Linked DNA regions of Caenorhabditis elegans. The protein of the gene in region 2 purifies or fractionates together with the protein of the main gene of each other region. This does not show direct contact. Each region holds a gene or a part of one and is shown on either strand. Other genes may lie near its edges.

Region 1 (7,710 bases), on a different chromosome or scaffold from region 2:
GCCTTTAAAGAGTACTGTAATTTCAAACTTTCGTTGCTATGAAATTTGCATCGATTTTTTCGTAGTTTTTATGTTTTGTTTTATTTCTTTTTTTAAATAAATAAATATATTTTTATCGAAAAACTACGAAAAATCTATTTAAAAAATTCCATAGCAGCGAAAGTTCGAAATTACAGTACCCTTTAAAGGCGCTCACCCGTTTATATTTAACAAAAAATTTTAAAATCGAATTCAGTAATTTTTTAATTAAAAAAATCGATTTTTAACGAAACACTATGAGAAATCAAAAAAAATCCCACAAAACTTTGAAGCTACAGTACTCTTTAAAGGCGCACAATAGGGGAAAAATTATTATACACATATGTGCATAATCGCGGCAAGACCCAAGAAAAAAGAAGAAGAAAAAGCCAATTTAGTGAGCACTTGAATGAGTAATAGGGCTCGCTCAAGTCCGATGAGCCGCGGGTACACATAATTGGATGGCCGCTACTTTTTCTTTTCTTTTTTTCTTGAGCTCAACATGCTTAGCTGCACTCATAATTCAGTTAGGGGTCACTTTTTTTTTCGAAAAAAATTCTAAAAAACTTCCAGAGCACACATCTTCGAGAAGGCGATCGTCTACTCCGGTGCAACAAGATCTCACTTCGCGCCGTTTCCGTAGATCAGGCGGCGAGCATCTTCCGATTCTGGATGTCCCGCTCCGATTCGCTGACTCTGTTGATCGAACGAAGATCCGACGGTGAGAGTGTGATGATGCGGCGTCGGCGGCAGGCGAGGCTCTCAATGTGCAATGAGCAGCGGGAGCAGACACGACACGTCGTTTCAGGGCGAGCCACGTTACGGATGACGTCATCAAGGTCGGCAGAGGTATTCCGGTGTGGGGACTCGACGTCGTTCCGCATGAAATCTCCGAAATACGAGTCATTCAACACATCATCGCCCTCAAAATCCATATGTCCCCAGTGCAATTCTCAGACTAGAATGGTAAGTTTTTCTTTTTTTTTTTCATTCCAAAAATTCCAATATTACGGGAACTTAAAAATTCTTAGAATGCGTATTTCGCAACATATTTGACGTGCAAAATATGAAAATATCTCGTAACGAAAACTACAGTAATTCTTTGAATGACTACTGTAGCACTTGTGTCGATTTACGAAAATGATTTTTTGTTTGAAAAACGAAGAAAAATTGAATATCTTTGTCACTATTCGAAATGAAATTCATTTCAATATTCGAGCCCGTAAATCGGCCTACAGTAGTCATTTAAAGAATTACTGTAGTTTTCGCTACGAGATATTTTCATATTTTGCGCGTCAAATATGCTGCGCTGTACGCATTCTCAGAATGTGTGAGTTTCCGTAATACTATAAAGTGCAATTGCGCTCCACGGACAAATCTCCACCCCAAACCGTTGGGTCTCGTTAGGAATTGGCGGGAAAACCGTTTTTGCCAATTTTCCAGCATTTTTCGCTGTTTTCAATGAGTTTTTTTTTGTCAAAATTGAAAAAGTTAATGTCATAATCATTTTTAACCATAATTTCGGCATAAAAACATAAAAAATAACGAAAAATGCTTGAAAACGGGTAAAATCGTCGGAAGTAATCGTTATTTCGACCTAAAACTTATAAAAAATATGAAAAAAAGCTTAAAAATTGGCAAGAATAATGTAAAACATTTGAATTTCCCGTCTTGCCGCCAAATATTTACCTAACGAGACCCATCGTTTAGGGGCGGGGCGCGTAATTTTTCGCGCCCAGATAATAATCCGTAATATTTCCAGATCTACCTACACCAATTCTCCCATGGTTTTGTGAACAATGCATTCCGTTTTTTGATCGTTTCCCGTTCAAGCTATTCACTTTTATGAACAAAAATAATTTTTCATACTTTTTTAAACCTGCATCACATAAAACATTGAATAGAAAAAATAATAAAAATAATTTAAATACAAAATTTTCTGATTCGACTACTACAATAATTCAGCGGCGGAAGAGGTTATCGGGGGCTTAAGCCTTGACGAATCCCTTCTCCTTGAGCTTGGCGACAAGTGCCGAGACATCGTCGACGAATCCTCCGGCCTGGCGAACTGGTGGCTCGGTGACTTCAAGAGTTTCAGTTTGTGGTGTGATATCTACATTCAGATCTTTGATTGGAATGTTCTTCAGTGGCTTCTTCTTGGCCTTCATGATGTTTGGAAGAGTCGCGTAGCGGGGCTCGTTGAGGCGAAGATCGGCGGATAGGACGAATGGCACTTTGACCTGGAAAATAGAAAATTTTTCGAATAAAACTTTAGATCCGTGAATTTTGCAAACAAAATAGCGGCGCGCAGAAATAGGGGCGGGGCGTTATTTTGCAACCTTGCGGCACGGTTTTTCCTCCTTTTTTCGCTTTTTCAATTTTTCATGTTTTAATCTCCTTTTTTTTCGAATAAGAACGTTATTTAATTAACTATCAAAATTTATTAATCGATCCTTGAATTTTGCAAGAAATTTTGTCGCCCAGAAAGTGGGGCGGGGCATAGCTTTTGCAACACTGCCGCACGGGGTTTGCCTCCGCCCCTTTTCTACTGCTTTTAAGCTTTTCTTGTTGATTTTTTCAATAATTTCTTTTTTTTTCGAATGAAAATCCAATTCGAAAAAAAAGAGAAAAATCGAAACTTTATTGAAAAAATCAACAAAAAAAGCAGTGGAAAAGGGGCGGAGACAAACCCCGTGCGGCAGTGTTGCGTAAGCTACGCTCCGCCCCACTTTCTGTGCGACAAATTTTTGCAAAATTTAAGGATCGATTAATAAATTTTGATTTTAAATTAAATAACGTTCTCATTCGAAAAAAGAGATTAAAACATGAAAAATTGAAAAAATCAAACAAAAAACAAGCGGAAAAAGGAAAAACCGTGCCGCAGGGTTGCAATATCAAGCCCCGTCTCGCGTTCTGTGCGGGGCTGCTTTTCACGGCTATCGATCGATATAGTAAGAATCACCTTAATCGTGTCAAGACCTCCATCAATTTCACGGGTGACCTTCATGTGTCCAGCGCCTGCGTCTTCAACCTTCGACGCGTAGAGAGCCTGTGGCCACTCGAGCAGGCCAGCGAGAATCGGAGCAGTTTGCGACGAATCATCATCGATTGCCTGCTTTCCGAGAAAAACCGCGTCGAACTTCTCCTGCTCGACAATCTTCTGAAGCGCCTTCGCCACGTGGAATGACTCGAGCTTGCCAGCTTCGGCGTCGGTCACCTGAACGTGAACTGCCTTGTCGGCGCCCTTCGCCAACGCGGTCCGGAGCACTTCGGCGGATTTTGGTCCGCCGAGCGAGAACGCGACGACTTCGGTGGCGAGCTTCTTCTCCTTGAGCTTGACGGCCTCCTCTAAAGCGATCTCGTCGAATGGATTCATGCTGTGTTGAACTCCTTCGGTGACGACTCCCGAGCGGTCCGGCTTGACACGGATCTGGAAATTTTGGGCTTTTATAGAATCGAAATGTGTCTAAAATCTCCAATTTATCCAAGTTTTCCGTGTCACAGCGGTTGGAAATCAGCTTTTATTGCCAATTTTAATCGATTTTCCGTTGATTGGGGTACACTTTGAGCCAAAAATGACAAAAAACTGATTTCCAACTGCTGCGACACGGAAAAGTTGGTGAAATTCAAGATTTTCGCCGAAATTAAGCTGTTTTTTCGAATTTTTTGCTCTTTTTCCTGAAATCCTACCTTGACAGCATAGTCGACAACTCTCTTGACTCCGACGAGAATCTTCATCGCTTGGCTGGAAGAAAAACTGGGAATAAATTTATTTATTTATTAATAAATGAAGAAATGATCGAAAAAAACAGCGGCGGCGGGGTCAAAGTACACACTTCAGAGTTCAGAATTTGATTTTTAAATTTGAATCAATTAATTAAAGCCGAAATTCGAAATTTTAGCCGAAAAATGTTTAAAATAGCTTTAAAACTGCCACGTTTTTCCTTAAAAACCTTCGAAAATTCCGTTTTTTATAGAAAATTCGTGAAAAATAAGAATAAAAATAATAAAACAAGTGATGAGAGAGATAAGACGATGTGGAGAGAGAGTGTGGGAAGACGAGAGACGCAGAGAATGAAACGCGGGCGGTGATTGTTGTGGCCTACACGTAAGCGACCGATTTGTAGAAAAAATGTTCTGAAAAATAAAAGAATAAATATTTCGAAGAAGACATGAGCTGAACTTCGTAGATCTAGATAGATTAGATAAAACAAAAAAAAAGCAGAAAAATTGTTGCTTCATTATTGAGAGAAATGTTGTATATACAAGAAAAAAAGCAGTATCTTAATTTTAAAAATGAAACCGTCAGCAGAATATTCATATTCACAGAAATTTCTTGAGAAATCTGGAAGATCACATGTTGCGAAGAGCAGCCAGGCGTTCTGTGAGGTCCTTGTCTTCTGAAACAGCTTGCGTCCCGGTCGGCAGAGCAGTTGGCACGTTTGACGGAAGCTCCTGGTTGAGCTCGATGCCTGCCTTGTCGGCGGCCTCTGCAATCAGAGCATCCACCTGTGACTTCGGAGCATTCAACACTGTCGTTCCGTCCATCGTCTTTTCCATCGTCTTTGTGGTCACGTCGAGATCTTCGAAATCTCTTTCGAATCTATCCATCAACTGTTGAACTTTCTCGAGATTCATGCTCTTCATGGCGCTTTCCATGGCTTTCACTACGCCGCTCATGCTGGCGGTTACTCGTTTTTGTGTGGCGGCGGTTTGAACTCGGGCGGCCACTGCGTCGATTCTGGCGGCCATTTTAATGTAGTTCACTGCTTCATTCTTCTTCCTGATCGCATTTTCAGCATGAACCTGTGCGACTTCTTTGTTTCCTTTCTGGAAAAAATCGAATTTAAAAAATAATTGTTTTTTTTTTCATTTTTAATTATTTTTTACCTTAATAGCTGCCGTCAGCTTGTCTTTCTCGACCTTTTCATCCTTCTCGCATCGTTGAGCATTCTTTTCCAACTGTTTCGCTGCGAATTTAAGATCAAATAAGTGTTCTGGAAGATAAAAACATGAAAATAAGTCAAAATCAAGAGAAATCAATTTGAAACTCACTTTCCAAGGCCATACTGCTTTCTCCGGCTCCCATGATGATTTTATGTGTATTAAGCTGGTATTTGAGTTTCTGAAATACGAGAATTACGGTGAGAAAGTGCTTTTATAAGTTAAATTTCGCAAGAAAGCGATAAAAACAAATTCATGAGTCATGTGTGTGTATCTGCGGACTTTACGTCATAAACGACGACACTTGATGTCCGCAAGCAGCGGATCTTACGACAATTTTGGGTTGTAGAAATTTCTGTATTTTAAGTCGGTTTCAGGCTATAAAACACAAAATTATCAACGTCAAAAATATTTCCAGATCCGCTATATGAATTTGAAAAAATTAACATCGTAATTTCACCGATAGATAAAATCGCACAAAAATAAACTACCATAAACTTTTTTGCGTGCCAAGACCAATCTGAATAAATCTGTGCGCCTTTCTTTGAAAATTACTGTAATTATCGACTTTTCGTAGTTTTTTTGTAAAAAAAATTGAATTTATTCATCAATAAACTAACAAAAAACAGTATATGTTTTAACAAATCAAAAGAAATAAAAAAATTGAAGAAAATACCGCAATTTTTAAATTACAGTACTCTTTAAAGGCGCACACCTTCACGCATTTAACAAACAATTGTCGTTTCGAGACCAGGTACCGTATTCTTCTCTCGAATTCTCAGGGTAATAAAACAATTTTATTAACATCTCAAGTCAAAACTATCAAAACTTTATTTCCGAACAAATCAAAGATCACTTCGGCTTCTTCTTGTTGTTTCTCTTCACCGAGAACATTGGCGGCTTCATCGTCTTCATCTCCTCCTCGGTCGAGCGATTGCTCGATAGAATCGATAGAACCACTGGCTTCATCCCAAAAGTTGTCTGAAGATAGCGCAGAACATCCGCCATGCTCACACGATCCGCCGGATTTTCAGCCCAGCAGTGCTTCTGAAAAATGAGAAATTAGTAATTAGCTATAATTTCAGATTCAAACCAACCGTGACATAGTCGCCGAATCTGAAGTCCACAAAGACCGGATCAAACCGCATGCGGTATCCATTACGGACCTTTCCGACGACGTCAGCAACTCTCATGTCTGGGTACGGCTCCTTCCCATTCTCAGTGATCTCCCAAGCCATTATTCCTGAAAAAATGTCTATTTTATTTGAAAATGTTATTGGAAAGACTAACCGAACGCAAACACATCAGTCTTCGGACTATAAATCCCCGCTTTCAACGTCTCCGGAGCCAACCAACGAATCGGAACCTTCTTCGTCAGGTCCATGACATACGAGATTCCCTCACGGGATAACCCAAAATCCGCAATCTTGACCTGACCACCTCCATACAGGCAATTTCTCGCCGCAATGTCTCGATGTAGAAGTTTCTTCTCGTGCATATACGAGATTCCACACGCTGCTTGGTAGATCATCTCCATCTTCTTGTCGGGCACCAAATTCGGATTCTTCTGAAGGTACGAGTCCAGGGCTCCACAATCCGCCAACTCCATGATGACGTACAGCGGCTCCTGGCTTGCACCAACTCCGTAGAATTTAACGACATTTGGATGCTGCAAAAAAATTAAATTTTTGGGCGAAATCGAAATTTAAAAGGAGTTTTCGAGTTTTTCAGAAAAAATAACTCAAAATTTCTTCTATTTTTCAATTTTTCACAAGATTTCAGTGAGAAATCATTGCGTTTTCATGTAACCTGGGTCCCACCACGACTGTAAAATTTTTCTCAGTTACCGTACTCGCGAGTACGCACGCTTCTGGCTTCCCTTGAAATGGAAGAGTTTTTGCCGAACTAGGCCATTTTGGCTCGACCATATCTGGGGTAGATTTACGGCGCGTTGCGTGTCGCGTCGCGGCTCGGTTTTAGTTGTAAAACTAAATGTATTTGTCCGTGTAGAGTACACGACTTTTCCACGCGTTATCCGGCGGGCGATTGTCAATGGAGCGCGAAAAATTCAATGAGGAAGGCTAGAACCCCGTGTAGTTTTACAACTGAAATCGAGCCGCGACGCGACACGCAACGCGCCGTAAATCTACCCTAGACATGGCCGAGCCAAAATGGCCTAGTTCGGCAAAAACTTCCATTTAATTTGATGAGGGAAGCCAGAAATCCGTGCTCGGTCCCGTCACGCCTATGAAATTTTTCTCAGCTACCGTACTCGCGAATACGGGTACTGTAGCTGTGAAAGTTTCAGTCGTGTCGGGACCCAAAAGTCACGTTTTTCATAGATTTTCAGAGAATTTTCCCTGAAAAATATCAACTTACATCGAGATTTCTCATGAGCCGGGCTTCTCGCATAATTTCCTTGATTTGCTCCTTGTTCAGTGACTCCAGTTTGGCGGTTTTGATGGCACAATTCTCGACATTTCCATTCTTCAATGTCAGCTTTCCTTTCCAAACCTCGCCAAAAGCTCCTTCTCCCAACTTTTTCGTGAGCTCCACCTGCGAATGCTCAATCTCCCATGGTTGCTTCAAGATCGGAGTCTTCAGCACTGTCAGCTTCTTGATGGGCTCTTTCGAGGACATGTAGTAGTTGACGAGGGAGGCGATCGTCTCGAAACCTTTTGCTTCCAAAAATATTTGGTTGCTCGAGTTGAGACGCATAACATAGTGCTTCACCTAAAAAATTTGACA
Region 2 (6,948 bases):
GAAAAATCGAAAATATATGAAAACAATTCAATTGGTCATTAACAGATCAAGAACATGGACGTGAACATTTGAACTCGGAGAAGATGCCAATAACAAAACCAAGTGACATACTTGACATGAACAGTTGAATTTTTTATTAATCCACTTCCTTGAGTAAACTACAATCATTAAGATTAAACTGAAGTGAGAAGATAAAAATTTGAAAAAATTTAAAAACAACAGATAAGACGGTTTTATGTTTTAGGACTTCATCGTTCAACTTTCCAAAGATCGTAATCAACGAACAAAACACTAAATCACAAATCTTGAATTATTTTGAAATTTTCTCTTAAAAAAATGCCACAAATTATTCATCGCAGGGTTTGAGGACTGTTAAAACTTGTGAACTCACAACTTGTTTCTCAAGTGTTTGTGAACGTTACATTTTAGGTTCTCGTGCATTTTGATTGTTTTAAACAAATTGAAACGTGACATATGTTCAGATGTTCTAGAATTGAAATGTCCCATTCTTACTGAATATTCCGGCCAGCAGCTGTTTGTGCAAGTTCTAGGTACGGTTTTAAAATTGGTTTAAAATTTAGCAAATGTTGGAAAACTTTGACAAAGTTTTATAGAATCCTGCCCAAGTTTGAAAAACAATTCTGTGTCGTTTTATACTTGGGTAAGACTGGTCAAACTTTGAACAATCATTGAAAAAGCTTAGATTTGAGCTCCTCAAATTTTTGCTCGAGTCAAGCTTTTTTTAAGTTTGACAGTTTCACTCAGTTAGAAAAGGTCTGTTTCAAATATAAAGCATTAAAAATACGTCTTACATTTCATTTAAGTAGAAAAAACTGTACATATGCTATTTTTTTTACAAAGCGTAACACTTTACTCCAAAGTATGAAAGTTTTCATTGAAGCTGTAGTTGCGCCAGCGAGGAAAATTATTAAAACCTCCTATAATGCCAAAAATGGCCAAAAAACATTTCAAGAAGTGATGAAAAACGTTTTATTGACATTCAAATAGTGTCAATTACTGAGTTTGTGTCACTTTTTGAGAAAACTGTCGCAGGTTGGAATTCCTAAAGTGTTAGAGTATTAATATATGAAAAATAAGTCCATTAAAGTCGAAGGATCATTTTTCTGATTGACGACTTTCAAAAATCTGTGTTAACATTCTATGACAGTTAATAGAAATAAAAAGATTTCAAAAAAATTGTGAAGAGTTTAACTATGATATTTGGAAATTTTTAAACAAAATGTATGGTTTTTACTTATTTCCCCAGTAGGGTTACTTTGCCTTTGAGCTTACTCAGAAAACAAAAACTAAAAATAGGCAAAAGTTGTGCATGACCTTGGCAAAACTTGGAGGTTACACCAATATGCAACTGCAACTTGGATTTTGGCAGCACCAAACCCATGTTTGACTCAACTCTTGCCAAACATCTACCCAAGTTTAAAACGAAACAAGAAAATTTTGGGCCAAAGTTTGGCTAGAGTTGGGTCAAACTTCGGATAAGCTTTAGCCCAGCCTGAATCCAAGTTCTGCCAAAGTCCCGCCCAACTTTTGTCCAAGTTAATATTTTTAGGGTCAAACTTGAGCGAGAAGTTGAAGCCAAATGCCGAGAAGATCTAATATTAATCAATAAAAATTAAACAAATATTGATCATAGTCAAAGTACTTTGAAACCAGATTTTCATATTCAATCTTTTATTTTGACTTATTTTATTGTGTTTTTATATTGTACCGAAGCTTTTTATTATCTGCATTATCAGAGTTTCTCAGAACATTCCGCAATCTTTGTAACCTAAAATTATTTACTTCTCTCACATAAGTTATTACCGTATCTATTGTTGTCCTCAGCGTTCCCATCTTTCCAAAATGCCAGTGCACTAATTATTTATTGTGTAAAAGGTTAGCAAAAGGTTTCTTATACTAGACTGCATTCCAGCTACTGGTCTTATCCCGAACAACGCTTCCACTTCATTATCACCATTCCCGCGCACTTTCCCCGGTGTTATTTACTTTTTTCTCAACGATCAGGTTTATATACATATTTTTTAAAGTTTCGTTAATGTTAATCGCTTAACATATTGCATTTGATGCTCATTGGTCGACAAAAGTTTTGCAAGTAGTGTACATTACTCAACAAATATTATTTGTTTGTTGTTTTTCTTTTTGACTAATTAATTCCTCTGGAAGTTTTCTCCGCTGAGTAGCAAGAAATTAATTTACTCTCTCAGCAGAATGATTATGGAATTATGGAATTTTCAGCGTTATTACTCGAGATAAACATGTGTCAAAACAGAGATCTAACGAAAGCCGGATCCCATGTGATTTTCAATTCTTGTTATTCACACATGCACCTTAGTTGTTCCAGACCATTCCCACATATCAAAACAGAATATACTATATTATTCATTTTTTGATAACCTGTAACAGAGAGTCATAATCATAAACAACTGGATGAATAGAAACCACTTGGTTCTGGTGTTCACTGGGGGAGAAGGTAGGGAAGGGGAATTAAATTAATTGGGTTGCGTCCCGGTTATCGTTCATAAATACTGCTGATAAGGATCTTGGTAATAAATAAATAAAAAGTGTCTTGGTCTCAGAGTGTGATTCTAGTTTGGATCGTAGCACAAAGCAACTCTCGGTAGGGATCTCGATTGTCTCGGACTCGAACCATCATTTGGTAGGCGGACTGAAAAATTGAAGTATACTGAAGAAGTGGATTTCTTTTTAATATTTCAATTTAAGAAAAAAAAACGTATTTGCTAAGCGTCCGTCAACGGCTCTCCAGTACAATAGCCATCGCGTTTACCTTATGGTCAGTACCCACCAAGTCATAGTGAATCATTCGGAACAGATTCGTAAACAACTTTGTTGGATCAATCTCGAATTCGATAACCTGACGTCCCGGAGTCACCGGACATGACGGGTTGTCGTCACACATATCATAGTTGCTCCTTAAAAAAACATTCAATGTTTTTCGGTGTTCTGCAAAGAAAACAACTTACAACAGCCCAAAGCTTGGTAAAAACATCCACCCACATCCGAACCATCCGGTTGAACGTTTAAAGATTGACACTTCGACGCCCAAATTGTCATATCGTTTGTTAGAATTACTGGTGATGTCGAGGAAAATTCGAATAGGCGAGTTGAAGGAAACCGGGTAGGTATCATCACCGTTGCCGTTTGTAATTGCACCGCCGTGAAGTTCAAACTTTGTGTCTACAATTTTTGGTATTTAGGGCTCTGTTTTACTAGAAGTACTGTACCTTCTTTACACTGGAAAAACGACGGACGAACTCGTGTTCGATTCGGAAGAGCAACGCATTCTTCTTCTTGTTCTAGAGAAGAATCTGCCATAAGGTATGGAGCATCCGGTGCAACTTCAGGGTCATCAGTGTTATCTTCGTTCGAGCCAGCTACTTCTGCAGCTTGATTACTGGCATCTTGATGGCTACCAAAGTTTTTGAAAGATCGAAAACGAGCAGGCTAAAAAATAAACTAAATCAAAACAAACACAAGTAAACAAAAAAATACCACTTCTTTTTTAATTTCAGCGCTATCTTGCTCAAATTCTTCTAAACTTGCAAAAACAAAAGGGAATATTAAGAATAGTAGAATAAAACGGAAATTCATCGTTAACAGAATTTTTGTTGAAATCTTCACTTGGAAACTTTTTTGGAACTGGCCGCAACCTGGGTGTATCGAATGTTTAGAATAAAACACAGATGAGTGCAAATTGAATAGAGCACTCGACGCACGAAAAGGTGCGGGTTGGTTTTTGAATTGCCTCAGGTGCTAGCGGGAGGTCGACGGGTGCGCTCTGTTCTGCTGTTTTCTGTGCTTTATATACCTGACCGTCTTTTTTTGTAGAGCGCCCAACATGTGGGGCGTTCTTGAAAGTCCGACAAAAACGCGATTCGCACCTGGTTCCAAAGCTCCGCCAAATCACTCGAGAGCCCGCATTTGTCGCTCGATCAATTTCTAATTAGAGCAAATGGTGAAGCACTCGAGATTGCCATTTTTGGCATTTGAAGATTTGCTCATTGCTTTCTAGACGGCTCTCTTCCTCACTCTTGACAAGTTTTTATCAGACACTCGTCACAGAAATGGTCTGCTTATTTCCATGGGACAGTGCAAACACAGAGCACAAAATAAAAACAGAAAAATAACAGAGTTTCTTTATTGGAAAAAAATGAGGGGGATGGAGAAAAGAATAGCTTGCATGAAATACATGTTTCGATTAGAATCATGAAAGTCAGAAAAAAACCACAGAACAAAATTGCTGATATTACCAAAGAAAAATTAAATTCGACACATATAAAGCTACACGATGTGGACGATGCGATCACTGGGCCAAAACCGAAATGATCTTAGATCATGGTATGAACAAGGAATTATTGTGCTCAATGGAATGATGGAATAAAAAGTGAAATAAAAACAATCTCGATTCCCTTTGAAAAGGTGACATTGAACAATTGAATTGCTATAAAATGATGTGAAAGTGAAACAAGTTATGATTTGAATATTTAGAAAACATGGAAATTTAATGAAACTTTAACTATTATCCGTATACGATGACTGATCATCGATTGCATGGGCCAATGCAGCCGCCCGAAGGGAGTCAAAATTTTCAGCCCCTGATTGAGCAGCCATTCTTGAAAACAGCGAGCTCTGATCATCCAGCAAAGTGATCGGTTTGTCAAACTCGACGAGCTCTCCTTTTTCAAACACCTGCAAGTTGCGAACCTAGGCATTGTTTGCTTGTTGAGAAACCACTTACCATTACATTATCGCTGTTCATAATGGTGTGAAGACGGTGGGCCACCGTGATGATTGTGGCGTTTTTGAAAAAGTCTCGAATTGTTTTCTGGATGCAAGCATCTGTCACTCCATCAACATTTGCGGTTGCTTCATCAATAACAAGAATTTTGGATCGGTGGATCATTGCTCGGGCAAGACAGAAAAGTTGACGCTGACCGACAGACAGGCTGACTCCCCGTTGGCCCAATTCGACGTTCAATCCTTTTTCTTTTGTGATGGAACGTTTAAGCTCACACTGAAAATTTTTTCAACGATTATCCTACAGAATCTATTAAAAATTTCGATTTCATATGAATTTCGGAATCTCGTATTAAATTAGACCGTTGGATCAGATTTAGGCACACATAGGACAAAACTAGGGCTACGGTGAGGTGAAGTTTGAACTTGGTTAAAATATGAGAAAAAGTTGGATCAGACTTGGGAGGGGTCATGTCCAAGTCTTCCTCAAGTCTTGCTTATGTCTTGTCCAAGTCTTGCTCAATCTTTGCCCAGTCAACATTTTACTTTTTCAATAAAATTTGTAAAGCCAATGGTGTTAAAACAAGATTATAGGGGCCATAAAAATGGCTTATAAAAATTTCATTCTCACATGTTATTCTTCAATAAATTAAAGCCATACCTGCTCTAACGCAAACCAAATAGTAGCATCATCATACTCATCGAACGGGTCCAAATTCTCCCGGACCGTTCCTGAAAAGATTACGGGCTCCTGCGGAATGATAGACATTCCTCCTCTTCTGAAGTTAAGACTAATGTGATCCAGATCCACACCGTCGATAGTGACACGTCCAGAGCAGTACTCTTTCAGTCCAAAAATAATTTTAATGAGTGTTGATTTACCAGCACCAGTTCGGCCGACGACTCCAATCTAAGTTTCAGAAGTAATACTCTGAACAAAAAGTTAGTAACTCACCTTTTGTCCACCTAAAACAACAAAGCTAAGATTTTTGAGTACTTTGGTCTCCCCATAATTGACAGATACATTTTCAAACTCGATTTCTCCTTTCGTTGGCCAAGAGTTCAGTAGCTGTTTATCGAGGTATGCATCATGTGGTCTTCTGGCTTCTTCTTCAGATTTCAATTTGGTGTACTCTAGCACTCGTTCCACGGAAACCATCTGCAAATCGACAGTTTGAATTCAATCCGCATACTACTATGTTTGTATTGTCTTCATTTGCAACATTTGCTGTGTTCACATTGTATTCATTTAGAATAAAAGACCGAATTGAGAGTTTCGGGTGGGTCGCTCATTTGGCGCCACCATGACAAACATTCCATTTGTGTTTGTTGTGATGTGTGTGTGTGTGTGTGTGTGGAAAATGCGACAAACCACTTCAATCGTCTGATCAGGGCAGTTCGCGCTTGAGCATTGTCCAAAACTCTTTATAATCATGATGTTTCGCCAACCGCATAGTGAGCTCAATTCGACCTTTGATGGCGGAGCAGGAGGAGGAGAAGGGGGAGCAAATTGGAGGAATCTCCCGCGATAAAAAAAGAAACAAGCAAAAAATAAACTCACCCCGTTCTCCAGCTCGGCGCTTTGCCGCATGATCCACGAGAAGAATCCACTCAACTGAACCGCGCACACAAGGCACAATCCGACTTCTCCGACGGTCAGGGTTTCTAAAAATCTCGGAGTGTTGTTTTGAAATAAGATACGATGGACGCGGTGGATAAACGTTACTGTGTTGACTTACCATATTGAAGAACAACAACAATCGCCACAATGGAAACGAAAACAGACACCAAAAAGTCGATGCAAATTCCGAACCAACGGGCGGACAAAAGTCCCATGTTGTACGCGGCCATATAAACATCCTGTGAAAAGGTCAAATTTTAAAATAGTTCGTTCGAGAAATGGGCTCTGGCGTTAGGGAGGGGGGTCTTACCTAGGTGTTTTTAGGGGGTATTTCCTATAGGGTGGGTCTTAGAGGATCTTTTCTAGGTTGTCGTTTCCACTCTTCTAGGAGATTTTAGGGGTTCTTCTTTCTAAGAAAAATTCTTAGGGTTTTTCCGAGTAGTGTTTTAGGATAGGATGTCGTTCTTGTAGTCACTAATGGCCTTGAGCAACGTTAAAATCAGCTAAATTTAGTATTCCGATCAGGGATGTGCGGCGAAAAAACCTTTGAC
Region 3 (9,241 bases), on a different chromosome or scaffold from region 2:
TGGTAGGTAATAGTGTCAAGGTACTGTAGTGGTACTGTTGGGGGTGCTGTAGGATTATTGTAGGATTATTGGAGTTTGGTGGAAAATTGCGTTTTAAGTTTTTGAAAATGTATTGGCTTGGGAATTGGTGAGGATAATGTCAAGATATTTTGATAGTTTTTTGCTTAAAGTCGGGAACATTTGGGAAGATGTGAAAGTTTCATTATTTTTTCATAAGACATTTTTGAATGATTGTGTCAAACATTTCAAATGTTGCCAGTCGTTGGCCGCGCCGTAGGCGCGGTCAGCGGCTGGAGTGGTGTCCATGAATTTACATATAAACAAATACATAGAATTCAGGCAGCGGTGCACGAATTCTATGCCGTCCTCTTTCAATTCACTCTCAGTTTTAAGCTTAAAAATTAATTTTACATAGCAAACACTTCCTCAGAATATTTTTAATAATTTCCAGCCTCAACAACAATCAGATTTGTGCCCTTGGAGAATACGAGTTATTTTTAGAAAGCTTCAAGAACACCTAAACTGACTTGAACGGATCTTCCAACAGTTCTTCTTCTGCATCATAATCAAGCATGATCTGTTCGTCGCCGTCAGAGAAACTGAAATTAAATTATAAAATGATTCAAAGTCTTCAGTGTTATCTAAATTCAAACAAGCTCAGAAATTTTTTGAGAAATCACATTTATGCATTTATTCACTTTTATTTTACTTTATTTATTTTATTCACACTTATTCCTCGAGAGCGTAAATTAATTAAATTAAATGATTCCCAACTATCACCAATCTATAATGCTGACTTTTATAATTTCCATAAGATCAAAATTTACGTGATGCTCGAATAACCTTTGTAACCTTTTAGATTGTGTCATCCTGATAAGAAAAGGGTAAATACAGGGGATTTGCAACGAAAATTCAGTTTATCGTCTTGTGACAACAGCGATTATCAACCAACTGAAGAAAGAAGAGCCATGGCTGTGGATATGATTGTCGAGCCGAAGTGGGTAGTCCAAAACTTTGGAAACATCCGCATCCTTGACGCCTCGTGGACCTTCAAGCCGAAAGCCGATATTGCCGAATACAAGGCCAAGTACTACAACAAGTTTGGTGTTGGAATGAATGAGTTGAAGAACCCTGAGTACCTTGCCGAGCACATCAATGGAGCTGCTCACTTCAACTTTGACATTGCATACTATCCATCGGAGAATGAGCGGTTCACTTTGTACACTCCAGAGGAATTCTCGTCGTATGTTAAGAGATTGGGTGTATTCAACGGAGATCATTTGGTCATCTATGGACGTGGAAAAGATGGTGGTATGGCTGCTGCTTCTCGTGCTTACTGGACATTCAGAGTTAGTTTCAAAATGTATCAGAATAAATTTAAATTCTTTGTGTTTCCAGTACTATGGTTATACTACCGTATCTGTCTTGAACGGTGGTATTGAAGCATTCAAACTTGCCCAAGGTGTCGTTCAATCCGGTGAGAGCATGATCTCATCTGGAAACTATGAAGCTAAATCGGTCGACAACAACATTCTTGCCAAGATGGCTGATATTCCATTCGATAACTTGGCTAGTATCAAGTACTTGGATGCTCGTTCGAAGGAAGAGTTTATCGGAAAAGTTCCAATTGGATATCCAGACTCGAAAGCCGAAGGTGTTCGTTGCAAGGATGCGATTCACTTCCCAATCGGAGAAGTTTGTGCTGCCAAGGGATTCAAGAAGAAGACTGATTGTGATCAAGGTTAGTTGATATCATTTGCAGAAGTTAACTGAATACTTCCAGCCTTCGCCGCCAAGGGAATCAAAGTCGGAGACACCGTTGTCATTGGTTGCGGAATCGGACTCTCAGCTTCAGCTATTTGGCTCGCGGCTGCTCGTTCCGGAATCGTTGCCAAGCTGTACAATGGAGGAGTCCACGAGTTGGCTTACAAGGCGCCACAACATCTCAACACAAAGGGATAAGTGACAATCATTTCTGATTTATTTCTGCATACAACAAGTCGCTGACGGTGTTTTGTGTTTTTTGGTTTTCATATGCTTTACTTTTGTGAAGTGTATGAGAAAATTGAAGAATAAAGATTGAATGAAAATGCATAAAAATTGTTCACTTTGATTGTTTTCTTGTCTGTTTTCTGGAGTGACTATATACTTTAAATATAAGTGTCTGCCTATCAAGACTGCTTATTTCATTTTTCTTTAATAAAATACTTGCATACAATTCACGGAAAATGCATCCCTTCTAAAAATAGACAAATGCCGAATCTCTGTAAATAAACCTTCACACGTGGAACTACAAGCTTGAAACCGAAATCAATCAAATATTTATCTGAATTGCTCAGTAATTTGCCAGTTTACAAAATTTCAGTCAACTCATTGGATTCTTTTAAATCTGTCAGATGTAAATTTGTAGTATTCTAACATTTATTTCTACATTTAGTTTTGAAAAAATATTCAAATAAAATGAAAACACGCAATTTGTATGGTACAAGTTTAAAATATTGGTGATGATTCGTGGATTTGGTGGGGCGAGTATTTACCGGTATGAAAAGCGTTTCAGACAACAATTGATGTTTCATATAAAATTGTTTCTTAGGAGATCTGAGGGGTTTTTTCTTACAATACAATAAAATGGATGGAATATAAACATAATTTGTGAAATTATGCTTTAAAATACAATTTCAAATAACAAAAACCTTGAATCTATGGTCTTCTATAGCTTTCCACTCAAGTACATGGTAGATCAATTTTCTTAATGATACGGGAAAAGCTACGCGAGAGAATTGGCAGAGTTGTTTCGGACGACGACGAGTGGTCGGGCTTCGAAGAAACGTGCCGAACGACATGTTTGCCTGTCAAGGACTCCACTTCGTGAATATCTCGTAAGCGATGTCTGAAAATATTGAAAATTAGGTTGTGGCTAGGAAGAAAGTCGATGTTGTGGAAATAATCAGATTGGAAAATGTGTACTAGGCAGTGGATATAATTGAGGCGTTTAATTAATAAAAAGGGTTTAGAAGTAAAGCATTTGAATTTAAAAACTGTTTTTAAAGTTTTACTTACAAGTTCTTATGGTTCTAGGTTTCGCTAAACTTCATCGGCAAACACTTTCTCAGTAGTAGGGGTTTTCCCTCTATCATTTGGTGGCAAAATTTAGTTCGCAGTTAATTCGCGACAGGCACATAATGACTCAGTAAACAAGCACAATGATTTCATAGCAATCCTGGCTCAATGTGCTCATTATAGGCAGCTTACGAGTCGCAGTATGCGCAATGTCCGATTTTTTTGACGATGTGTAGATAAATCACTGCTCTAGGATTCTGATGGGTCCATCGCAAATTAACTGCGCTGAACGACCTAGGCTGACTTAGAAGATTTTTAATTTTGCTAATTTAACGTACCGTATTTCCTCTCTTAGTAATGCACCGGACAACTTTACTTTGTAACGTTATATATCGGTTTATTTTGAATATATCATTATATCTTTAACTACGAAATTATAGAAAAAGAACTAAAAAATATTTTGTTAGTTGACAATTTTTAAATGGAACAAATGATAACTGAGATATACACTGTCAAAGTTGAACAATGGTGTGCAATACTAAAAGAGGAAATACGATATACTCATAATTTAAAATGAAATTAACTTAATCAACATATTAGTGCATGTGAAGCAGTGCAAAATAAACTTTAAAATGTAAAAATAAAAAAGCCAAGCCAAACAAAAAGTCAAGAAGGACAAAAAACATGGGTTAGAGAACATCCTTACAGCAGGTTTTTCATCGCTTGAAGTCGGATTTATGACACCAGAAAACCGTGAACGGTTTCGAAAACTGAATGATATTGTTGAGTTATTAAAATTATCAAACTGGTTATCAACAAATAAGGTTGATACATAAATAAACTGAATTGCTCCTAACTCTTGGCTTCAATTCAAAAACAGACAACTTTGTAGAAATTGACATACCTTCTGCTAGTATTATCAGTTAAAAGACGAAGTTCTTTAAATGATATACATGGAAGAAGTTTTGAAGAGAAGAAACAGAATCCTTCACGGAAACGGGCATTTCGAATGAAATAGATAATTGGGTTGACCATTGAATGAGACATGGCAAGTCCATGAGCAAACCACCTCAAAATGCGATTTTTAAAACCAAATTATTGAGTCAGATTAAAAGAATATTTCTTACCACAAATACAGAATATATCCCCAACTGTTGATATCTGGATAGAATTCTGGAATGACGTTGATCAGTATAAGTAAAGGAAGCCAACAAAGTGCGAAGAGTGCCGAAATGAGAATCACCATTGGGACCAGCTAAAAATCTTATTTAATTAACAGGTTTCGTTTCTCACGCGGTAATATTTATTGTATTTGATAAAAATAAGTAAAAACGATATTTCAATCTACTGAACAACTTTATCAAACCGTCATGTAATAGGCAGGTAAAATGTAATAACTTCGAACTTTGATTTAATTTTTTTCAATTTTAAAGTTTCACTTAATAATGATTTGGAAAAGGTTATGTCAAAAACGATTTTTGATTATTATTTTTATGCTACACATGAGAATATTGTTCCTATAAATATAGGGGTCGGTTGACTTTGATTATGGTTATTATTATCATCACCGCACTGAGGAGCCATTGATTGTTGCATTATTTCCATATTCTTATTATTCTAATAAATCAAAACTGGGAGTTTTTGAAAGGTTAGGCTTAAATTTTTAATAATTCCAGAAATCTCACCTTTTTGACACTTTCATGTCGATCAACGATCATTTTCTTTGTTGCTCCATTCTGCATTCCTGGTACTCGACTATTCCACATTTTAATTCCAATATGTGTGTAAGTTATTATTAAAACTGCTTGAGGTACAACATATTGTAGAATTAAGACCATTGAAGAATACACTTTTCTCACTTGTTCTCCAGAATCTCCAAAATACGTCCAATTTTCTCCACAATTCGGTAAACCGTCTTGGTCTTCGAAAAATCTCGTTGTGAAGAGTAACGGCAACGCCATTAGGATACTGAATATCCACGTGGCAGCTACCAGATAAAGAGCTCTTCGTCTTGTAATTCGAATATTTGGAGTTAAAAGGAACATTATAGCCATCCACCGATCAAAACTGATAACGACAAGTGTCCAAGCTGATAAAAATACAGCCATTGCTTGAAGGAATGCTAATAAAGAGCACATCATTGAGCCGAAGAGCCAACGTTGATCATCATAAATCAATACTTGCCAATAGCTGAACGGAATGCAGAATACTGATATGAGAAGATCAGCTGCAATTTTAGTTGTTTTTTTGGGAAATTTGCTCAACATCTTAGATTAATTAATTTTTTAAACTTATCCATTTAGAAGCTCATATAAGTTCTGGAGATTTGAAAAATTATAAAAAGTTTTCAAAAATTCAAAAGTAACAAAACCCACCAACTGCCAAGTTCAATATCAAAATATTAGTCGCCGTTCGAAGTCGTTTAAAATAAACAATAACCAGAATAACGAGCACATTTCCATAGACACAGCATACGCAAAGTATACTATAGAAAAGAATACATAACATCTGTAAAAAATTAGTAATAAATAGGTACAAATATTAAAGGTAATAATGTAGTAATTTTATTCATTTTTTACACTTAAAATGGCCTCTAAAAATTATACCGAATTTTAATAATGATAGCACTTGAAAAATTTTCAAAACTTTTTATTTACGGTTCAAGTTTTGAAGAAAACGCTATCATAAATTAACTAAAATAAAAGTACATGGCACGTTAAAATCAATTTTCAGCAGGTAAAATTGGCTAAAAACATGGCCAAATTGCCTAAATATGAAATGTAAAAAAAACTAATTTTAGTTCCTTTTTTCAAAGTTTCAAAACTCTTGTAAAATTTGGATTTTTAGATATACTTTGAATGTATAAGAATATTTTTTAAAAGTCTCACCTTCATACTTGGTGTCAAATGATAAATATGATTCATTTCTTGAACAGCTGGATTTTCAGTTGTCGTCGGTTCGTTTCGCATCATAATTTCAGAGGCTGTCGTCGTGATTCTGGAGAGCAAACTGCTTCCAATACCCCCTCCTTCGTCCATATTTGCTCACGAATTAGATGACGAATCGTTCGATCTGAAATTTAAAACAATTTATTCGGAAAGAGTTTGGGGAAGTGTTCCAAATAAGGAAGACCACTTGTTCATAGAAAACCGAAAATTAAAAACAAAGAAAAAGAGAACATATTTCGGAGAAATAAATGAATATGAAGAAACCAAGAATGTATTTTCTCGCACATTTTTTAGATCAGAAATGTTGAAAGAGAAACCTTCAAATTTATGAGAATGTAGGAGAAGGATAATATTAAGAAAGTGTATCAAATTTTGTTGTTTGAAATTGATTAAAAAGTAAATTTCTATAAAGTGAAAAATTATATAAACGAAGAAGGTCAATTAGCAGTTGGAAAAATAAGGCAAAGATCAAACAAGATTTTTTTGTGATTCTTGGGTTTTCGGAAGCAAAGTATGAGAGAATTAGAGGAACATAGGATGCTCGCAATGATATTTGGATGTTTGTTGACCTCGAAAAATGACTATAGTCTTTGCGGTTTTGTAGAAAAAAAAATATAATGTTTCCGAATCCAGAAAATTTGTTAAAAGTGTGGTATATTCGAAAAATAATTCTTTTGGGAAAGTCCAGTGGGAATTAAAAAAATATATGGCAAAAGTATAGGGAAGGGAAAAACTTGAAGAACTATCCTATTTTTCGCACAAGGATGATTGGGGAATGATTACAAAATGCAGAAGTGATAGTTTTTGATTAATAAATAGGTACATTGTAACCGAAAAATCCAGAAGGTAGGCTGCTAATATCTGTTTTCGAAATCAAAATTAATAAGATGATTTCATCTGAAAATGTGGCAAACTTTCTTGAAATCTGCCATGTTTAAATAGTGATATAGTGATAGTAGTATCTAGTGATCTGTAGTGGTCCCATTTTGACACATGATCCATCAATTTCAATGAGAAAGGTCAAATCAGCCAGACATGTGTTGTATTAGTTTACAAATGAACTTTGCAAGATAACAGGAATTTATGGAAGAAAAATGTTGGAAAAATGCGTGTCTACCGAAGTTTTAGACATGAGTAATATGATCATACGATAGAGTACAAGTACAATATGAATACTTGAATAAAGTACAAACTTTTATTGCAGGGTTAGAGCACGTGCTAAAACTTGAGAAACTTGAACAAAATCAAGTAAAAGAAAATTGTTACAGATTCTTTAAACCGAAGTTTTCCAATTGTATTGTGCTAATTGTATGTTCCAATAAAGAAACTCTAGCTAACTGTTAATTATAAAAATTTAAGATTTTGGATACGCGATTGGTTTCTAGAATTTAATCGAATGAAAGATTACCGTCGTTTTATCGTATTCTTCAACACTATATCTCAATAATTTTAGCTGAATTTAATTCTTATTTGTCTATTTTTTTGTAGAAAAAACTATTGACCAGATAGGACAAAAAAAAACTGAAATTTATTAAAATATGTCTAAAATATGTTTCAATGATGTTATAATCAGGAAATGATAAGGTAGACCTCAGTACATATGACACCTTTCACGTTATTAGCAAGAATGTACATAGATATCTCAAGATTCAGATAGATTACGTCATCACGGCATGAAAATGTCTCAAATGTACATCTCAATTAGCATAAAAATAATTTCTAGAATTTCTGAAAGAAAAAGGAGAAGTATATAAAAATAGGAATAAGAACACCACATCCTTGCAAAATGAATAATAAATAATAAATAATTAATATTGAGTCAACAGAAATGTGTCTGGATGTAGTGCGATGTTGTGAAAAAAACAAGATAAAGTTGACTGAAAATAAGAAAACATTCATGTCAAGTAAGCTTCAAAACTTTGGAAAAGTCTTCGCTTTTTGGAAGTCGTCTATGGCAAAAAGTGGCAAAAACTCAGTAATTGCCACTTTTAAACTGTCAATAAAAATTTTCACACTTTTTATTTTGAAAAGTTGTATTTGAACATTTTGGCATCATAGGAATGGTTTTTGACAACTTCTCCACATCCACCTTCAAAAAAGAAAAAAAGATAAACATTTATAATCAATTCTCCGAACTTAAAATTTATTTTGTTTTACTTCACTCTTGTTTCATTCACAATCAGGTTTCAAACATTACAAGACAGATTCAGAAAGCTGTTGAATAATTTTTAAAAAAGTTCAAAACCCAAGTGCATTCTGCTCAAAAAAAACTTTCGAAATTCAATGAAGAGCAAAATTAATGATATTTTTATTTGTGATGGCGTTTTCTACGTGCATATACTAGTTAGAAGAACCACAACTTTTACTCAAAAAATACTAGTCAAAAACTGGAATTCAGAAATAATTCATCCGACTTTTTCACTTTTTTCACACGGATTTCTGTCAGTCTGCAAGACATTTTCAATAGAATATTTGTTAACGGAAGAGCATAATTGATTACGGTCCATTGGCCAAGAGAAGATATATAGGTCAAAAGTTAGGATGCGGTCAAGAGAACTATGGGGGTGGGGTACTCTACTATTAAGCTTCAGAATACTTTCAGTTTTTATACTTTATGTGTACATTCAAAAAATGTCCTTATAGTAAAATCATAGTTTTTTCAGAAAACTGAAAATATTAGCTTTTAGGTATTCAAACACTAGAAGAACCACAACCGTCAGTTATAAGTTTTCTCGATTGGATTTTTCCAGAAATTTCCAAAAAAATAAAACAATATCTGTTTTGTCTAGACTGGATTACTCTCATTTTTCCAATAAATTGATTTAATAGTGAGAATAGATAATAATAGTATTTTCAAAAGAATTGATGTTACCAAGAAAATAAAAAAATAAATGTGGGAGATGAAAAATTGAAAAAAACGGCTCATATCGCACTAATTAGATGGAGAGAAAATGAGAGAACTTGTCGAAGCATGACATTTGAAATAAATTAGGAATAATGTAAAACGAAGAACTCTGAAATTTGATCTTAAAATGGAAAAATCTATAAGAATGAAGGTGACTTTGAACCTTTTTTGAATGATGTAATACTCTAGATTTGGAAGGTGGTTCAGATCAAATTTGAAAATGATTGGCTCCGAAAATAACATTTGAGAAGGCGGAAACAAGTTTAAATAGGTGACAAATCAGATTTTCAAAACTTTGTTTCTTTAAAAAATTATAAAAACCAAATTT
Region 4 (6,683 bases), on a different chromosome or scaffold from region 2:
TATATATACCTGATTGGCATGAAATCTGTTGGAGAAACAGTAACAGGAGTTGCGACTTCGAGTGGACTTGAAATTATGTCTCTGAAATCACCATAAGATTTAGAAAACAAGTACCGTATATCAGAAACCCCTTACAGTAACCCAATTCAGACAACACTTCTTGTAATCACAAAAAAAGATATGTATATTGTCAGAATTTTCGCAGTTATGTACACTGGATGTTTCGATATAATTTACCTTGGATATGGAAGTGGTCGTCGAATTGCAACGGGTGGCGTTGCCAACAGAGACATTTGACTAGAATCAGATTCAGAAGCTGAACTTGGAGAAGACATTGATAGTGATGGTTAGTTGAATAAGATTGTTAAAATTGAAATAAATTGTTTTCAACTTTTTATGAACTATTTTGTTTTCTAAAATTGTTTTTTTTGCGTTCTGGTCAGGGCGTAGGAAATGTAATATTTAATTGTAATATATAATAAAATTAGAACTGAAAAAATTTGTTCTACGTGAAATCCTATTTACATTATAACTTATTCCAGTTGTTATCAATCACTATAATCGAATGTCGAATATTTTTTAAATCATTTCAATAAACTCGATAATCTCTGACGTTCCGTCATGAATCCAATTTGGAATCCCGAATTCCATCAATTTATGATGAATAATCAACAAAGAGCTCAAGCTGGTGGAAATCGACAATTTCAAGCAGTTCAACCGCAAATTAGACAAAATCAAGTCGTGGAGTAAGTGACCTAAGTATGAAGCAATAATATTATGTGTCTCAGTTATACATATCTTCCTCGATGAGCTTCAAGGAAAACGTTATATGGTCTCACCGCGAGCAACGCGCCTGTAAGGTTACTGTAGAAATGCGCATATTTTATGTCTGGTGTTCTGAATAATTCATCGCAATTTCAGACGAAAACATTACGATACCAAATACTAGTTAAAAACATTCTTTAAAAAATTAAACAATTTAATAAAAAAGAAAAATAATTCGATACCATAATTACAGTAACCTTGAAGGCGCGAACAAATACAGATTTTTGTGACTTCCGGGTGCGGCGGGACCATTTGGAATACATCCCTTGAGACTTATAGGGTTATGTTAAGGCAGGGGTACTGTAGTCTTACTTAAACATTTCACCGAAAATATAAGATTATTTAAAAGTTGTTGGAGAAAAATCACAAATATTGACTGAGCTCCTTCTTCAGCAGAAACATACAGCCCCCCCGACGTCACAATGCTCCGGCTCCGAATCAAAATCGTAGAAACCACCAGCAACGTCATAACAATATGAATATGCCAAGAAGAGGCAATCTTAATATTCAGAGAGATGTAATGGTGAGAAGTTGTTTTTTCTTTGTTCAAATTGTAATGTTTCGAGTTTTTGTAGTCAAGAGATGAACTGGAAAGAATTGAGACAATGACACGTAAGAATTATCAAACAAGAACTGCTGTAGAGTACGATAATCGAGAGAATCAATGTTGGACAAATATTTTAGGTCGGTCTGTCTCGTTTTAGAAAAAATTTCAAAAAAAAATCCATCTGCATTTAAAAGTTAATTTTTCAGAAAACATTGAGCAACAAACGCATCAATTCTCGCATTCCACGTCTGATCATAATTTCAATGGCGGCGATATTTTCATTCCAAACGAGGAGAGCATCCGTTCGACACTTCGTGCTGAAAATCAAGCTGAAACAATTCTGGCGACACGAGACTTGCTTCTTAATTTCGGTGCCACGGAGCAAGAGTTGAGCGGAGCGCTTGCCACGTTGGAAATTCACTTGAGAACCAACGCGGCTGAATTCAATACTGTAAGTTGAAGTTTTTGCAGTGATCTACTTATTGAAACTTTTCCAGATTGATGATCTATCCAACGAACTAATTAAAACTGCCGGACAATTGACGACGGAAATCGACGAACTTGATGATATTTTAAGCCGCATTGATAGACTTCGTATTCAGAAATAGATGACTACATAAATTCGAACTTGACTTGTATGTGTGTGTTCTATAAAGATTCTACAATGATAATCATTTATATTGTGAGAAGAAATTTTTAAAATAAGTAGTACAAAATAATTCTTAATGTAAGAGATATGTGAGCAGTTTCGAACATATTTTAGATTAATTTCTAGCGTTGAGAATGGTTGAATTGCGTTCGCAGATTGATTTGAACGCCATAGTGCACGGATAGAAGAAGGTGTACGAAGCAGATTCGACTTCGGTTGGAGACTGGAAGCTTGCAGCACAGTTGGCATACGATGACCATCCATTGACGACTGGTTTGAACGGTTTGATGAGCCAGTTGCTGTAAAATTATTTTTTGAAAAATGCGAAGCGATATAGAAGATTTAGTGAAAACCCACATCTTAGATGGATTAATGGATCCAGTAGTTTGCCATCTTGGCAACTGCTCCAATCTTTCGTAATGTGAGAATCTAACGAGACCGATCCATGACAAGACTGACTTTTCAGCGTGATCGCGAACAGCATCCCATTCTTCCATCGAGTTGGCAACGAATAGTGTCGCCTGCTTATCGTGGCACTTTCGTTCGGCTTTTGCGAATCCAAGTGATTCTGTTTCGATGAAGTAGCACGAGTCCGAATATCTCAACCAGCCATCCGGGCAACGATCGGATTGATCGATTGGAAGGGGTGTCGGCTGATCTTGAAGCGGTGGAAGATCCTCGAATGCGCTGGTGCCAAGATCCTTGTGGTCCCAGTTGTAGTATGTCACTGTAAGATTGATTAATTACCAAACAACGATATTTTCTAAATCAAAACTTACATCTTTGATGAGGTTGCTCATCGGAGGAATGCGCGAGAACAGGCGTCTCATTTGTGTTGTCAGCGACGACACCGCCTCCAATGATGATCAGTGGGACGATGATAAGGATGTAGGTCGATCGCATGGCTTTGTTGAACATAAGAGATATCTGCCAGCTCTTTGATTTGGGAAATATTTCGTTTCATTGATTCCCATCTGCAAAACAAACATAATTTGGCGGGTAGATCAAAAAAGGAATAGATCAACAATTTATGAGTGTGGGATGCTGTTTTCCTATAAAAAACATCTTATACGTGCGTATAAATAAGATGTTATAAACCGGATGCAAATTTTCGTTCGGTGAAAAAATTTTCAAATGTGTGTTTTAATGCTTCATTTTACTTTTTGCGTTCATATGAATATGAATTCATTTTCCTAACTACATATATTTAGTCACAATGTTTGAGATTCTGCTCTGAACTGTGATGTTAGAAAATCTACATTTACGAATTACTTTTATTATGACTTGAATCCGCTATCGCAAAATAGAAAATTACGAAAAAATAAACATAAATTTCTGAAAAACTGATCTTTGGCACAATGGGAAGAGGAAGTGAATCTTTTTTTCTGATTCTTGAAATTTCCACTCAAAATTTCACGAATGTTTCAGAATTTTATCAGAGTTTGTCATTTGACTTTATTTCCATGAAAAGCTAACATTTTTTCTGATATGAAAAATGCACGTCCCGAATATGGAATTTGATACTTCGAATTCACGTATGAGACACATCATACATTTGATTTATTAAATACTGTACTTTTCAATAATTATTTTTGAACTGCGAAGCTTTGGGATAAATATTCAAATTCTTTAAAATTTATAAATTAAGATATAAAATCGAAAATAAAAATCAAATAAAAGAATTGAGGTTAAAGGCGCAAGCCATTTTAGGGCACTTGGGTCTTGAGAGGACTACTACAAAAGCGCACAGTGAACTCCTCTCGGACAAAACTTTTTTTTTGTTTGTTATCCTGTTCCGAATTTCTCTGTGTTTTCTTCTAATTTTCAAGCATTATTTCTTGAATATAAGTTCCATTTCTAAATTCTGCACCAGAAACAGGAGATATGCTCTAAATTCCCCATGACATTATTTGAGAATCATATTCCTAATCCTCACTTCCTTATTACAAATCATATTATTCATCATCTCCTCTCACTTTGTTGTTTCGAGCTATGAGAAGCGTGCGGTTTCCTTCTAGATCTTTGTTTTTGTGCTGCATAAATGTTAGATCTTTGCTTTGTTTGGTCTCGGCGCGAAAATAAAAAGAAACTATAGTGTATTCCCGCTCCGTGTTTCATTTGAGAGCACATATCGAACACAGAACTCGACGCTATGTATTTTCTGTTTAGTTTGATCACATTGTTGAAGTTTGAAAATGTGTTAAGTTGGAATGAAACGAACAAAAGTGTTGCAAGAGAACACAGGTCACGGTATGGTGAAAAGTTCAGGAGATCATTCAAAATTTTGCTGACGTTTGATTTCGATGTTTTTTCAAGATATTTCAAAATGTCTTGAGAAAATGTCCTTGAGAACTTCCCATGAATCACGTAGATGTCTTTTTCTGAAAGATGCATAAATTATGTATTTCCTACGAATTCTGATTTTCTAGCAGTGTCACCATTTACAATTTCTTTAACTCCGATAATATACTTTTTCTCATTATCCATCTCTTTGTTTCCCACGAGGAATTTGCAGGCCAGGTTTGAGTTTATCTAACTCAATAATCACCCATATGATCGACGAGGAAAAAGTTGATCAAACATCAAGTGTTCATCATCAGCCCCTCTCTTTTATATATTTGAAAACGATTTTCTAACAAAAAGAATTGCGAGAAGCACACCTTATCTGAAGTTTCCCAATGCGAGGGTAAAGCTCAATGTTCTCAATGATCTCCATTCCTCACTTTGTTTATCTAATTCTCTTCTCTCTCCTACCTATTTATAGTCTGATGTCTTGCTGGGCTTGCTGTTTGACCGTTGATCGTCTGCGTCTCCGAGTCAGGAGCGAAGCGTTGTGTTCTTCTCTGCAACTCTCTCACTCTCGTTCGCATCAGTGAACAAAGCCACAGAGAGACATTTTCCATTCGTTGGCCGACCTTACTCTCTTTTTCCTCACATAGAGTGGGTCCGTGCCATTTCTTCTCGTTTTTCTCTCCTAGACAACGTGTTTTTATGGAAAATCATTAGTTTTTTGGTCTTCATACGAAACATCAATTTGAGTATTTACAAAGATCTGATATTTTGGCTTCATATGCTACCCAAGAGCTTCATTCAAAATATATTGATGTTTTTTTTTTCTATAAGATTATAAAAAATTTTACGAAATTAACTATTTAATTGTTACTTCAATTTCGATGCCAACGTAGTTGTAGGTATTCGGAACAATGATCTCTGTTATTCCATTTTCCCAGACATCCTCGAAATCGAAGATCCTCGCGATAAGTTGTTTTCAACTCGCTCTACCGTCACAAGAAAGTTTTTCGGTTGGTTGTGCGAACTCTAGTCGTAATAAAACATCCGAAAACAAATATGGGTTTGATTCCTTGATCTATTAGTTGTTAGCAACGATGTTTGCAAATTTTCTATGCATTTGATAAATATTTTCATATTTCATGTCCTGATGGATGATGATCTTTCATTTATCGACTTTCAACTAGCGTAGTGTGTAGTCTACATTATGACACTAGTATCTTGATTCGCCTCCGCGTCTACCGACTTTACACACTGTTTGTGTGTCACAAATGTTTGAGGGAATAGTGTTCGTTTTTCTTTCCACGTATCTTCTTGCTGGAAGAGGGATCAGAAGAAGGCTAAAATATTCGTAGCTTTATCTTTATCGTAGTTTCGAGCCTATAATCTATCCCAATCTCATCATGCTAAGCTGTAGCATGGCTCCGATTAGAAAGTAAAATACGGTTTTCATGTTTTGTAGCCTTTTGGTAGCAACAGAGAGACCGTATCTCTCCTTCTTTCATATTCTGTGTCCACTTCTCACTCATTGAATCATACATCTCTATGTTTTCTCATAGTCATCATATATTGTCAGCTGCAGAAATCTCATCATTTTTCCAAACGAAAAGCTCTTAAGAGAAATGCTTGTTTTCTGTGGGGTACAGCGAATGGCTTCTGTGGGAATGCAGTTTGTGAATGTAAATAGATTGTTATGCAGTCTTGCAAATGTGTCGGAGGCCAAAAGTAGAGTAGACATATTTGAAATTTATAGCTTTGAGTGTCCTTAGTCTATTTTGATATTTCATTTCTGCTTTCCTCAGTCTCTCATTCCAGCTGCAAAAAATAAAAATAAGAAAAAACACGAATCCCGTCCATTCGCCATTCAACATAGATCATATTCCTCAGATTTTTTGCAGAATATGTAATTTTTGCTGAATGCTCGCTCTATTGTCCTTCATTGGTTATCAATCTTTTTGCATTAATAGCTTTAATTTTTGATGTTTTCGAAAGATTAGGGAAAAATTTTTTAATGTGTCTTTTGTGACTTGAGATTATATGCTACACTGAAAAAATTGGTCGCATAACATTTCAGAGTTCAAAGTGTTTTTTCTTTCGATTGTGTAAGCGGCAAAATTCTACTTTATCATGCATTTTTGTTTCAATCAAAAATTTGATGTGATTTGTACATGGCGTCGGTTTGGTACTAGTTGTCCACTTCCTCAGCCATGAAAAGTGTGAGTAAGTGATAACGTTTATTATCTTTTTTGAATTCATTCTATGTTTAAGCTACACGTATTTAACTAGCTGACTCATTTCCACCAAATATGCCAAAAGACCTCCGAGATTTTTTTTTGAAGATAATTTCGATTTCGCAGAAAAAAAAACATATAA

The links.
Region 1: the proteins of ZK470.6 (region 2) and etfb-1 fractionate together in Caenorhabditis elegans (co-fractionation; one large-scale study listed by BioGRID). This does not show direct contact.
Region 3: the proteins of ZK470.6 (region 2) and npr-22 fractionate together in Caenorhabditis elegans (co-fractionation; one large-scale study listed by BioGRID). This does not show direct contact.
Region 4: the proteins of ZK470.6 (region 2) and clec-91 fractionate together in Caenorhabditis elegans (co-fractionation; one large-scale study listed by BioGRID). This does not show direct contact.

The regions. Positions count from the first base shown.
Region 1 is NC_003279.8:2,416,591-2,424,300, forward strand, and holds etfb-1 (Electron transfer flavoprotein subunit beta), read right to left. Parts: upstream 3,764-7,710; 5' UTR 3,757-3,763; coding exon 3,709-3,756; intron 3,449-3,708; coding exon 2,981-3,448; intron 2,259-2,980; coding exon 2,007-2,258; 3' UTR 1,871-2,006; downstream 1-1,870. Other genes in the region: F23C8.13 (PDZ domain-containing protein), read left to right, coding at 592-984, 1,781-1,867; did-2 (Charged multivesicular body protein 1b), read right to left, coding at 4,372-4,848, 4,909-5,015, 5,074-5,107; F23C8.7 (Tyrosine-protein kinase), read right to left, coding at 5,815-6,009, 6,060-6,205, 6,253-6,631, 7,342-7,695.
Region 2 is NC_003284.9:4,173,678-4,180,625, forward strand, and holds ZK470.6 (MD-2-related lipid-recognition domain-containing protein), read right to left. Parts: upstream 3,631-6,948; coding exon 3,532-3,630; intron 3,484-3,531; coding exon 3,264-3,483; intron 3,217-3,263; coding exon 3,003-3,216; intron 2,952-3,002; coding exon 2,807-2,951; intron 2,687-2,806; coding exon 2,594-2,686; 3' UTR 2,388-2,593; downstream 1-2,387. Other genes in the region: mrp-6 (Multidrug resistance-associated protein lethal(2)03659), read right to left, coding at 4,552-4,728, 4,778-5,053, 5,438-5,686, 5,732-5,935, 6,338-6,441, 6,516-6,636.
Region 3 is NC_003282.8:8,556,325-8,565,565, reverse strand, and holds npr-22 (Neuropeptide receptor 22), read right to left. Parts: upstream 6,135-9,241; 5' UTR 6,099-6,134; coding exon 5,949-6,098; intron 5,569-5,948; coding exon 5,436-5,568; intron 5,288-5,435; coding exon 4,746-5,287; intron 4,316-4,745; coding exon 4,188-4,315; intron 4,130-4,187; coding exon 3,965-4,129; intron 3,831-3,964; coding exon 3,767-3,830; intron 2,891-3,766; coding exon 2,768-2,890; coding exon of another isoform or gene 2,725-2,767; 3' UTR 2,405-2,724; downstream 1-2,404. Other genes in the region: mpst-6 (thiosulfate sulfurtransferase), read left to right, coding at 969-1,349, 1,399-1,741, 1,784-1,962. UniProt on the Caenorhabditis elegans protein: Receptor for the LURY-1-1 and LURY-1-2 peptides which control food-related processes including feeding, lifespan, egg-laying and roaming behavior. Receptor for flp-7 which stimulates serotonin-induced fat loss.
Region 4 is NC_003279.8:9,124,107-9,130,789, forward strand, and holds clec-91 (C-type lectin domain-containing protein 91), read right to left. Parts: upstream 2,996-6,683; 5' UTR 2,925-2,995; coding exon 2,801-2,924; intron 2,749-2,800; coding exon 2,379-2,748; intron 2,321-2,378; coding exon 2,137-2,320; 3' UTR 2,034-2,136; downstream 1-2,033. Other genes in the region: ZK858.2 (uncharacterized protein), read right to left, coding at 10-81, 238-335; ZK858.8 (t-SNARE coiled-coil homology domain-containing protein), read left to right, coding at 622-746, 1,219-1,348, 1,401-1,509, 1,579-1,823, 1,870-1,980.